2 linked regions of the Coturnix japonica genome follow. The protein of the gene in region 1 purifies or fractionates together with the protein of each later gene. This does not show direct contact. Links are inferred from orthologs where the notes say so. Each region holds a gene or a part of one and is shown on either strand. Other genes may lie near its edges.

Region 1 (4,408 bases):
AAATACCATCAAATAATAATTAAGCTGGGTCTGTTTAGGGAGAGAGATGCTACATAGTTGATAAAAGCATAAAGCATTTAGAAAGCAGCATTCTATAGAAGACATACTTCAGTAACAAAGAATATTTTAATTTAAATGCAAGGCTTTCAAGCAAGAGAAGGGATGGTGCTTTCTTTTTTGTTTGTTTCATTTAACCCCACACAGAAAACGTAACAGAATCTCTGTGACAGGCAATTCAATGAAGCCAGGATGGCTCATGTTACAGGTTTACACACTCTGAAACAAATACGACTGTATAATGAACACAGAGCTGTCTTGCACAGCCTAAAGCCCTTCAACTCTCTCTGGCAGTATCAGTCTCTAAGAATCAGGATTTCTCTTTTAAGACTTCTTATTTGCTCATCTATTCAACTTCTAATTAGCTTCTTTCTGACAGACTACGGGCACACACTCTCAAATCCTGCTGCAAACGGAAGAGGGAGCAGGATAACACAGAATGACCAGCTCTCCACCGAACTGTTGGGCAGTTACTGTATCTTAGTATAGCAACCAGCCTTGCAAACTTGTTTTTAAGCAAGGTGATTGGTTGGTTGGTTGGTTGGTTGAGTTGTTGTTGGGTTGGGTTTTACTGTTTGTTTTGGGTGTGTGCTATTTTGTTTCAGAAATCTCAGTGTACTGAAAACTTCAAAGCCAGAGCATGAGGGAAATCATAGACCAAAGCATTTCTACAGCTTGTTTAGAAAAGAACAGCAACATCATGAAACAAAAGGAGATGTAAGAATGAGGCTTTTTGAAATAAATTCAGCCTTAATGCGTTCATATTTTGTCAACTTAAAATGAAAGCTAAAGCATCAAGTATACATAAGGGACAGTTACCGTGAGTAGATAAAGAGAATCAAAAATATCACAGAAGGCTTTCAAAGTATATCCTCCTATACCAAGTGATCAGCTGGAACAAACAATGGAGACACTTGCCTTGTGCAGTAGAGACAGACTTTCAAGGTATACAAGGACAAGAAAAGTCACCATCATTTGACTTAGAGGAAATAAATATGGACAAGTATTTTTTCCAATGGTCTAAAACTGAAATTAGAGAGCTTTTTTTTTTTTTTCAGAAACATTCAAAACCGGAAGAGTTAGGAGCTAAATAACAAGTCCGTGACATTCCTTTGGTTAACAGTCCCAAATCCCTCATACAATTCCTTTCCTACTGAGAGTAAAAAGGTCAAATTCTTAAAGTGTTACAAATTAAAACCTCTGTAACTATAATACTCACTTCTCATTACCACTGCGTGGTCCAACAGCACGTACTGTTTTCTGAGTTCGGCGTAAAAGGAGAGTGTCCTCCTGTTCTGCCTCATCATCATCCCACCGGCGACAGCCCACAGCCGAGCAGATGTACTTCACCTAAGGGACAAGGCAAGAGACTCACAGCATGGAAATGTGAATAACCTCAAGATCCAACAGGAGGGGGAATGATTGTTTATAAAGGTGGATAGTGATAGGACAAGGGGGAATGGTTTTAAACTGAAACAGGTTTAGGTTAGGTATTAGGAGGAAGTTTTTCACCCAGAGGATGGTGATGCACTGGAACAGGTTGCCCAAGGAGGCTGTGGATGCCCCATCCCTGGATACATTCAAGGCCAGGCTGGATGTGGCTCTGGGCAGCCTGGTCTGGTGGATGGTGACCCTGCACACAGCAGGGGGTTGGAACTGGATGATCATTGTGACTCTTTTCAACCAAGGCCATTCTATGATTCCATGATTTTAGATGTTCAAGTTTATGGATGTTAAAAAGCACAGTTTAAGAGAACTGCTTTTGCTAAAAGTTCTAGGAATTCATAATCTGGAACATCCCTGACTTATTGACTCTTTGCATGGTTTTCTATTCTAACAGAAAGAAATCATAGTTCCTCCTTTTTCCACGATGTCTATTGACATAAAGATAATTTCTAGAAGTAGGTTCATATTATAATTCTGTTTTCGTGCCATATCTGCCTCAGCATAACTTTATTAACTTCAAATTAAGTACTATTGATCTATATAAAATACTACAGAGCCATCTCACTTAGTCTTTTCAGCTATTAAGATGGGATGGGGACCTCAACTAATGCTGTCACACAGACTTTGCAACAGTCCAATTCTGAAACAGTATTTGGAATATAAACAACCACTTGTGTTTTGAAAGTAAGTTGGACACACTCTCAGGAAGTGTGAATGGACATTACAGAGCCAAAGGCAACACACAGAATCATGCAGAATGGCCTGGGTTGGAAGAGGCATCAAAGATCATGAATCTCCAACCACCCACCACAGGCAGGGTCGCCAACCTCCACATTTAATACCAGACCCCATCCACCCTGGCCTTGAACACCTCCAGGGATGGGGCATCCACAACCTCTCTGGGCAGCCTGTTCCACACTGCCAAAACTCTAAACATGGAAGTGTAAAGCAGTATTTCCTGTGTGCAGCACCTTTGGTACTGCAAGTCTGGGCCTGAATCAAAGCAGGAACTGAAATTTCCACTTCCTCAACAGCTGGTACAAGTGCCCTTTGCCATCAGTGAGAAAATCTGAATGATTTCATAATCTATTTCTTTGCATCCTTGTCATCAGCGATCATTACAGAAACCACAACAGCATTCTACGTGAGGACACCTGGTCTAAGTGGAAAAAGCAGTTTGTTGGTTTTTGTTTGAAAATCAAACACTGGAAGTTTAAAGTTTAAAAACATTGTAAAAACAATAAGGTTTAAAAACATTAAAATATTTAGGCTGTCGATGCCCCATCCCTGCAGGCTTTCAAGGCCAGGCTGGATGTGGCTCTGGGCAGCCTGGTCTGGTGACCCTGAACATAGCAGGGTGTTAGAACTGGATGATCATTGTGGTCCTTTTCAACCCTGGAAAGGTTGTCAAGTCTAGGACTCAATGCAATCAATTCCTGTATTTTATCCCTTTTTTCCCTTCTGTTTTTTAGAAGTATACAACATTCAACCAGAAAATTTCAGGAAAAAAAAAAGAAACACTTTCTGAACCACTCAGATAGAAAGTAGTTTTCAACTTAACTTCTGCATGAGGTTAAAAGTTAAGGAGGATTTCTAAGGTAGAGTAAACTTAATGGCAACAAGAACAAAACTCAGAAGTTCATGTACATTGAATGCTTTTCTTGTTTTCAACCAGACACTCTTTGCTAGTCGAGAAAAAATTAAATCTTTAAGTGTGAAAAATGTATCACCTAAAACTTTATTTGATGTTCAGTAAGCTGAACTGTGAAGGCTGTTCCAGGCAGAGACACATAATAAAGCTGAACTCATCTTCCAATTCGGCAGAAAGGGGTCATTTCTTCCCCTTGCTCTGAATTTGCTAACTCAGCACAAAAGTAATCCAATAAAAAGCAAAGAGTTTTCTCTTAGGTTAGCAAATTGATTCTGCTCAGCAAATGGCAAGTGACAGAGGCAGCACAAGGGAGAGAGCAGAAGCTCACACACTAGACAACACTGCACTGATGCTCCCAGCAGTGTCATTTAACTGCACCAGCTGCCAAGTCTTACTCCAGCCTGTTTTATTTGTTTCCCAAGAAATTTGGATTCTTCTCTTTGGTGCTGTGCAATCATACTCCAGAACTGCAGCGCAGCTTAAATCTTAAGAACAATCTACTTGCACGTTAGTATTAGAAACATAAGACACACAAATTTGAGATACACAAGACAACTTTAAAGGCTCTTACCTTCCCTGAGTAGGAGCTCAGCCCGTAGCTTGTTAAAGACTTCCCCCCAACTAAGACAACATCCTCGCCCAGTTTGTAGGATGACTCGAGAAGAGATTCAACTGTGAAAGGAACTGCTTCCATGCTCTCTCGATCTCGATCCCACTGGAAAAGGTCTCCATCCAAGGAAGGAATTATCATCTTATTTCCAAATACCTAAAACGAGACAGCAGAATATAAGCTACTACTTCTAGCAAAACATACACAGATGCAAAATGAAGCATAGCATGAACAAGTACAGTGATTTATACTTAATAGTCAGTCAGTGGCTGAAGACTAAGCACGTTATTGTGACTGTTTCAAGACAGCGGCATTCTAGGTAAAGCTGTAAATTTCTATGCCCTTCCCCAGAGTGAATGTCGTAGTAAATACAGAACTGAGCATTCTCTCCAGATCAGACAACTATATTCTGTTCTAAAAGAAAAGCTGAGGCTGTATGTGTGCCCTTCTACAACTGATGACTACACCAGAATAGCCACCCTCCTTTAAAGCAGACAGAGCAATTACCACTGACAGACCTTACATTTCGTTTCTGGCTTTTAAAACAGTTAAATCCAACTTCTCCTCCCTAGAAAGTCTTATGCTTACATACAGTTCCTTTCAAATTCTGATTCTTCTTAAAACACACAATAGGTCAAACGTTC
Region 2 (5,090 bases), on another chromosome or scaffold:
ACGGTAGCCATCCTACAGGCAAACATAAACCACACGTGACTGCCAGGAAGGTGGGTCCTACTTGTTCCCTCTTCGCATCTACAAAGCAGGAATCCTTTACTTTGTGGACAGATACTGGTTTTGGAAAACATGAGCCTGCATACGTGTGTACACATAGGGCCGTCATCCTCCCAGAGCAAGGAGGATGGTCACCCAACAGGAGGAAACCCACAAGGAGGATAAGGACGGACCACAGCAGTGCTTGGGCACCCAGGGAGCACCCGGGGCCGGGATGGGCACAGGTTTGAGTATGGATGGGCAATTCAGGCACACTGGGAGGTGTGAGCACACACATCCTCAGGGTATCCTCAGGCAGTGTTAGAACACACTTACCGCCTCGAGTCATTAGAGAAGGCGAAGGAATACACGCCAGCAGTGTGGCCTTTCAGCTCAAAAGCCCTGGTCACTTCCCGGAAGTCACCTTTCTTGCCAAAACATACTTCCCAAACCTTCACATCGGGAGTAAAGCCACACGATGCCACAAACCTGAACAAAATAAAATAGTCTATTACAAAGTATCACTGTGGCTGGGTTATAGGGTCAGCTCCACAGCCACTGCACCACTGAGCTTCCCACTCAGCAGCAGCAGCCTGAAACACCTGCAGGTTCCTCACCTCCCGCAGGGTGATACAGTAGCATAGGCATTGTTCATCTGGTTAGTGTTAATGCTGGCAAGGACTTCACCCTTGGGGCTCCAGATCAGGATGGTAGTGTCACTGGAAGCTGTCATGATAAACTTCCCTGGGGGGAGGAAGAAAAAGGCAGAGATGAGGAGAATTCCTAGGCCTAAAGCTGCCATAGTCACCAACAGCTGTAATGGTTCCTAAACAGAGAAACTTGTCTCTGCATCAGAACTGTCAGGAAACCAAAAGCAGCACCAAAGCAGCAGCACTTTTCTCCTGGCACAGAGCACAAAGCCGTGCCAACAGGCCCATGGCCGGGTATGTACCAGTGTTCAGTCAGGACTCAGCAGCTCACAGCTGCCAACCCAGAGCCCCCCTGAGCTTCCACCCGGCACCTTTCAGATCCTACTTGCAGAGCTCAGTGCTACGCTCAGTCAATGCAGCAGACTTTATCAGGTTGTGCTTTAACCAGGAGAGGTATCTAGCTTTCAAAGTCAGGGATTACAGACTGGTAGATGATTAGAAGTCACACTACGTTTGTCCTGGATTACTGGTGGCGTCGCATTTTGGATATTTGCTTGTTTCCACTTGCTGTGCTTTCACTTTTCATCTCAGCACGGACACTGAGTTCAAATTTATCTTCAAGCTACTTGTTACAGGGTTTCAATTTTCACTCCTGCAGCCAAACAAAGACCTCAGTTAAAAATTCATGGACTTTTCTCTTACAGAGTGGAACGTGCATCCACCCGCTGCCAACTGTGCGCTGCCACGCAGCTGAAGCACGAATCCACCAAGCCTCAGCCATCAACATTCACCCTTCTCAGGCTGTTCTAGGAGATACCAAGGGCCAGCCTACGCTCCTGAACCTGTCAACTGACTGCAGCCATTTCTCACTGGCTGAAGCAAGAGCAACAAGCCAGACAACAGTGATGCTCAATACTGAGACCACGACTCTTTACAACAGTGTCCCTGAGAGCCTAAAATAAGACACTGCAAATCAGGCAATTCTAAGCTTCCTTAGAGATTTCTCTCCTCAAATTGTTTTCCAGCTTACTCAATAGTAAACAAAGGCTAAGACACAACAACTAGAATAACACAGAATCGAGCAGGCCTTGATCAAGTCAAGGACTATCAACATGTTCAACCCAGCGGCTGTTGCTCAGAAAGGAAATCCAGGTGGGTGTGGGGGCACAGCAGGGGAGCAGCTCACCTGTCTCTGCGACTCCCATGTTAATGACGGGAGCTTTGTGCTTCTTTGGGAAATCCTCGGAGGATGGTGTGAAGGTGAAGCTGTCGTCGTCCTTCTTCGTCACTTTATAGACACGAATTGTCTCTCCGTTTGCCAGCCAGACGAGGAGCGCCCTAAGTGGAAGGACGGGAACCGAGCCGTTAAGCAGCAGGTTGCCGTGGTCGGCCCAGCTCCGGTGTGTGAGTTACCGGTCACCGTGGGGCACCTGGGGGAGAGGTGACACATCAGTTGTTTTATGAGGGCTCGGTACCTGCCCTGCGGTAGCTCCGTCCCTTCCTCTGCCCTCAAAGCAATTCAGCAGCACCGAGCTGCCTCCCCCGCAGCTCCCGCACCCCCCTTATACCGGCCGGCAACGCGGGTGTTGTGACACCGCCCCGAGCCCCGCGTTAAGGCGGGACGTCCCGCATCGCGCCGCCGGTGCCACACGGGGTTCCGGCCCCACCTGCCGTCGGGGCTGAAGCGGACGAGCTCGGCGTGGTCCAGCTCCACGTTTCCCCGCACGCTGCGGTGCTCGCGCGCCGTGAAGTCGCGTGTGCTCCAGAGCCGCACGGTGCGATCGTCGGCGCAGGACGCCAAGTGCTTCCCATTGCTGCTGAAGTGCAGGCAGCTCACAGCGCCAACGTGACCCTGCGGGGAGCGGCCGTCAGGGCCGGGACGGGACGGGATGGGACGGGACGGGGGGCTCCAGCGGGACGTGGGGGCGGCCGGTACCTTGAGCGCGGCGGCCAGCAGGCGGTGCGTGAAGCCGGGCTCACGCTGCGGCTTCTCCCTGCGCGGCCGCGGCTTCGCCCTGCGGGGACTGTCGGGGCTGGAGGCGGCGGGGCCGGTCAGCACCGGGCCGGTCAGTGCGGGGCCTGCGGGGAGCGGGACTCAGCGGGGAGCGACCGCGGGCAGGGCGGAAACGGAGCGGTACCCACAGCCGTACCCACACCGGTACCCACAGCCGAACCCACACTTGTACCCACTCTCCCGTCACCCCGTGCCGTACCGGTGGCCGTTCTCCCCGGTGCAGCCCGGCGCAGCGCAGCCGCCACGAGCAGCGCGGCCACGAGCAGGAGCAGCCCCAGCCCCAGCGCCGCCTCCATGGCCCGACAGCTCACGGCCGGGCGGGGCACGCGCTGCGCATGCGCCGACACACGGCCCCGCCCCGCCCCTTCCTGGCGCGCCTCTCGTTTGGCCCCGCCCCCTCCCACGTGACCGCGCGTGGCCGGAAGTTGCGGCGGCGTGTTTCTATGGGGGCGTTAATGGCGCGGCCGGTACCGGGCCGGGTTTATGAGGGCTTTAATGGGGCCGGCGTATGGCGCAGCTTTAACGGGGCCGGTTTATGGCGCAGCTTTAATGGTGTCGGTTTAATGGTGTTGCTTTATGGTGCGGACGCGGCCCGGTCCCGTGAGCGCCGTCTTGTTGTTGCGGTGTCCCTTTCCTCCTTCCCTCCCGCCGTCCCGTCCCGGTTGTCACGTGTTTCCGCTCCCGGCCGCAGCGCGCGCCGCCTGCTCGGGGACACGCGCGGGGTCGCTGAGGATGGACGTGGAGACGCTGAGGAGCCGCAGGGAGCCCAGGATCGCTGCGGGACACGGGGCACGTCACGGACCGGACCGGGCCGGCTGCTCCCACCCCCCGACCGAGCGGCGCCACGTACACGGCCGGAGCGCGGGGAGGGAGCAGTGCTGCTCCAGCCAGGCCAGGGACGTCTGCGTGAGGCTGTCCATGCTGCTGGTGGACACCGTGCTGTTAAAGGACTCGAACAGGGGCCGGATGATGACGCTGAACTGTTGGAGCGGTTAAGGACGAACGTGGCGGTGGCCGCGGTGCCCTGTGTGCGGCCAACAGCGATCCTGCCTGCACTGCGCTGTGATGGGCGCACACAGCACAGCACAGCACAGCACAGAGCACAGCACACAGCACAGCACAGCACAGCACACAGCACACAGCTCACAGCGCACAGCACAGCACAGAGCTCATAGCTCACAGCACAGCACAGCACACAGCCCATAGCACAGCACAGAGCTCATAGCTCACAGCACAGCACAGCACAGAGCTCATAGCTCACAGCACAGCACAGCACACAGCCCATAGCACACAGCACAGCACACAGCACAGCACAGCACACAGCTCATAGCTCACAGCGCACAGCACAGCACAGCACACAAACACCCAGCTGAAACCATCATGTTCCTGGGTTTGCATCTGATCCTTTCCCAACCTCTAACCGATGGCTGCTGCATCTCAGCGCCAGTTCCAAAGTTATTGGGAGCAATTGCCCGTGTAGCAATGCCCAGCTCAGTCTGGGCACTTCAATCTGCTCCCCAAGGACTGACCGTTTATTCCTACCCTGCTGCTCTCTAGTAACAGAAGTTTCTTCTAAGCATCTGAGCGTGTCCCCTTCACGTGTCACCCACAGAACGTCTTGAGCAGCAGGGATCCCACACAGCTGGGAGGGGAGGGCGGACCTGGTGTGTGGTGGAAGGGGCACTGAGCATCCAGTGCTGACCCAAAGGATACGATCCAGAACTTCCAGTTGTGCAGCGTGGAGGAGCGCACGTAGTCGTCAAACATGCCGCGCATCTGGTCGAAGCGCTGGCGCGTGATGGGCACCCCGGTGGCTGGCAGCTGCTCCTGGCACAGGCTGTGAGGCACAAACAGTTCTGTGGGGCCACGGGTGGGAGCCTGGGGCACACGGCAGCTGCCCCACGTGAGAAGAGGAGCCCGGTGTGCCGCAGGGCTTGGTGGCTCTGCATGTTTCAAGCAGGCAACACCTTGTGCTCCGTGCCCCCCTACTTGATCGAGCTGTTGAGCTCCTCAATCTGCTCCCGCAGCCGCTGCGCCTCGTCCTGGAGAGCTGCCCGCTCCTGCTGCAGTTTGCAGATGTACTCAGCAGTCTTCTGCAAGGTGGTGGCCTTGCTGACCTGCAGGGTGGCAGAAGTGGGATGGTGCAGGGAGCCTCTGGGATGAGTAGGGCACAAGGGGCTGTGTGCCCCATTGCTGAGCCCTGGCATCAGGCTGCAGCCCTTAGGCACCACAACGTGCATGCTGGCACAGCCCAGGACCGTGTCATCACTAGGCAATGTTCTGTGTCCCTGCACGCCTGGCGCCAGCCCATGCAGCACTGTGTGCTCACCTTAATGCTGGGCTGGGCACTCAGCGTGCTCACCAGGCTGTGTAGTGTGTCAAAGCCCAGC

The links. The genes of interacting proteins can lie anywhere in the genome.
Region 2: the proteins of EIF2AK3 (region 1) and TBL2 purify together in Homo sapiens (affinity purification with western blotting; 3 studies listed by BioGRID). This does not show direct contact. The link is inferred for Coturnix japonica from reciprocal best matches to the Homo sapiens genes EIF2AK3 and TBL2.

The regions. Positions count from the first base shown.
Region 1 is NC_029519.1:77,991,369-77,995,776, forward strand, and holds part of EIF2AK3 (eukaryotic translation initiation factor 2-alpha kinase 3), read right to left. Parts: intron 3,921-4,408; coding exon 3,726-3,920; intron 1,408-3,725; coding exon 1,277-1,407; intron 1-1,276. UniProt on the Homo sapiens protein: Metabolic-stress sensing protein kinase that phosphorylates the alpha subunit of eukaryotic translation initiation factor 2 (EIF2S1/eIF-2-alpha) in response to various stress, such as unfolded protein response (UPR).
Region 2 is NC_029534.1:126,552-131,641, forward strand, and holds the start of TBL2 (transducin beta-like protein 2), read right to left. Parts: upstream 3,036-5,090; 5' UTR 2,997-3,035; coding exon 2,900-2,996; intron 2,766-2,899; coding exon 2,623-2,765; intron 2,539-2,622; coding exon 2,354-2,538; intron 2,025-2,353; coding exon 1,873-2,024; intron 781-1,872; coding exon 654-780; intron 526-653; coding exon 373-525; intron 13-372; coding exon 1-12. Other genes in the region: MLXIPL (carbohydrate-responsive element-binding protein), read right to left, coding at 3,366-3,475, 3,551-3,680, 4,414-4,537, 4,690-4,817, 5,030-5,090.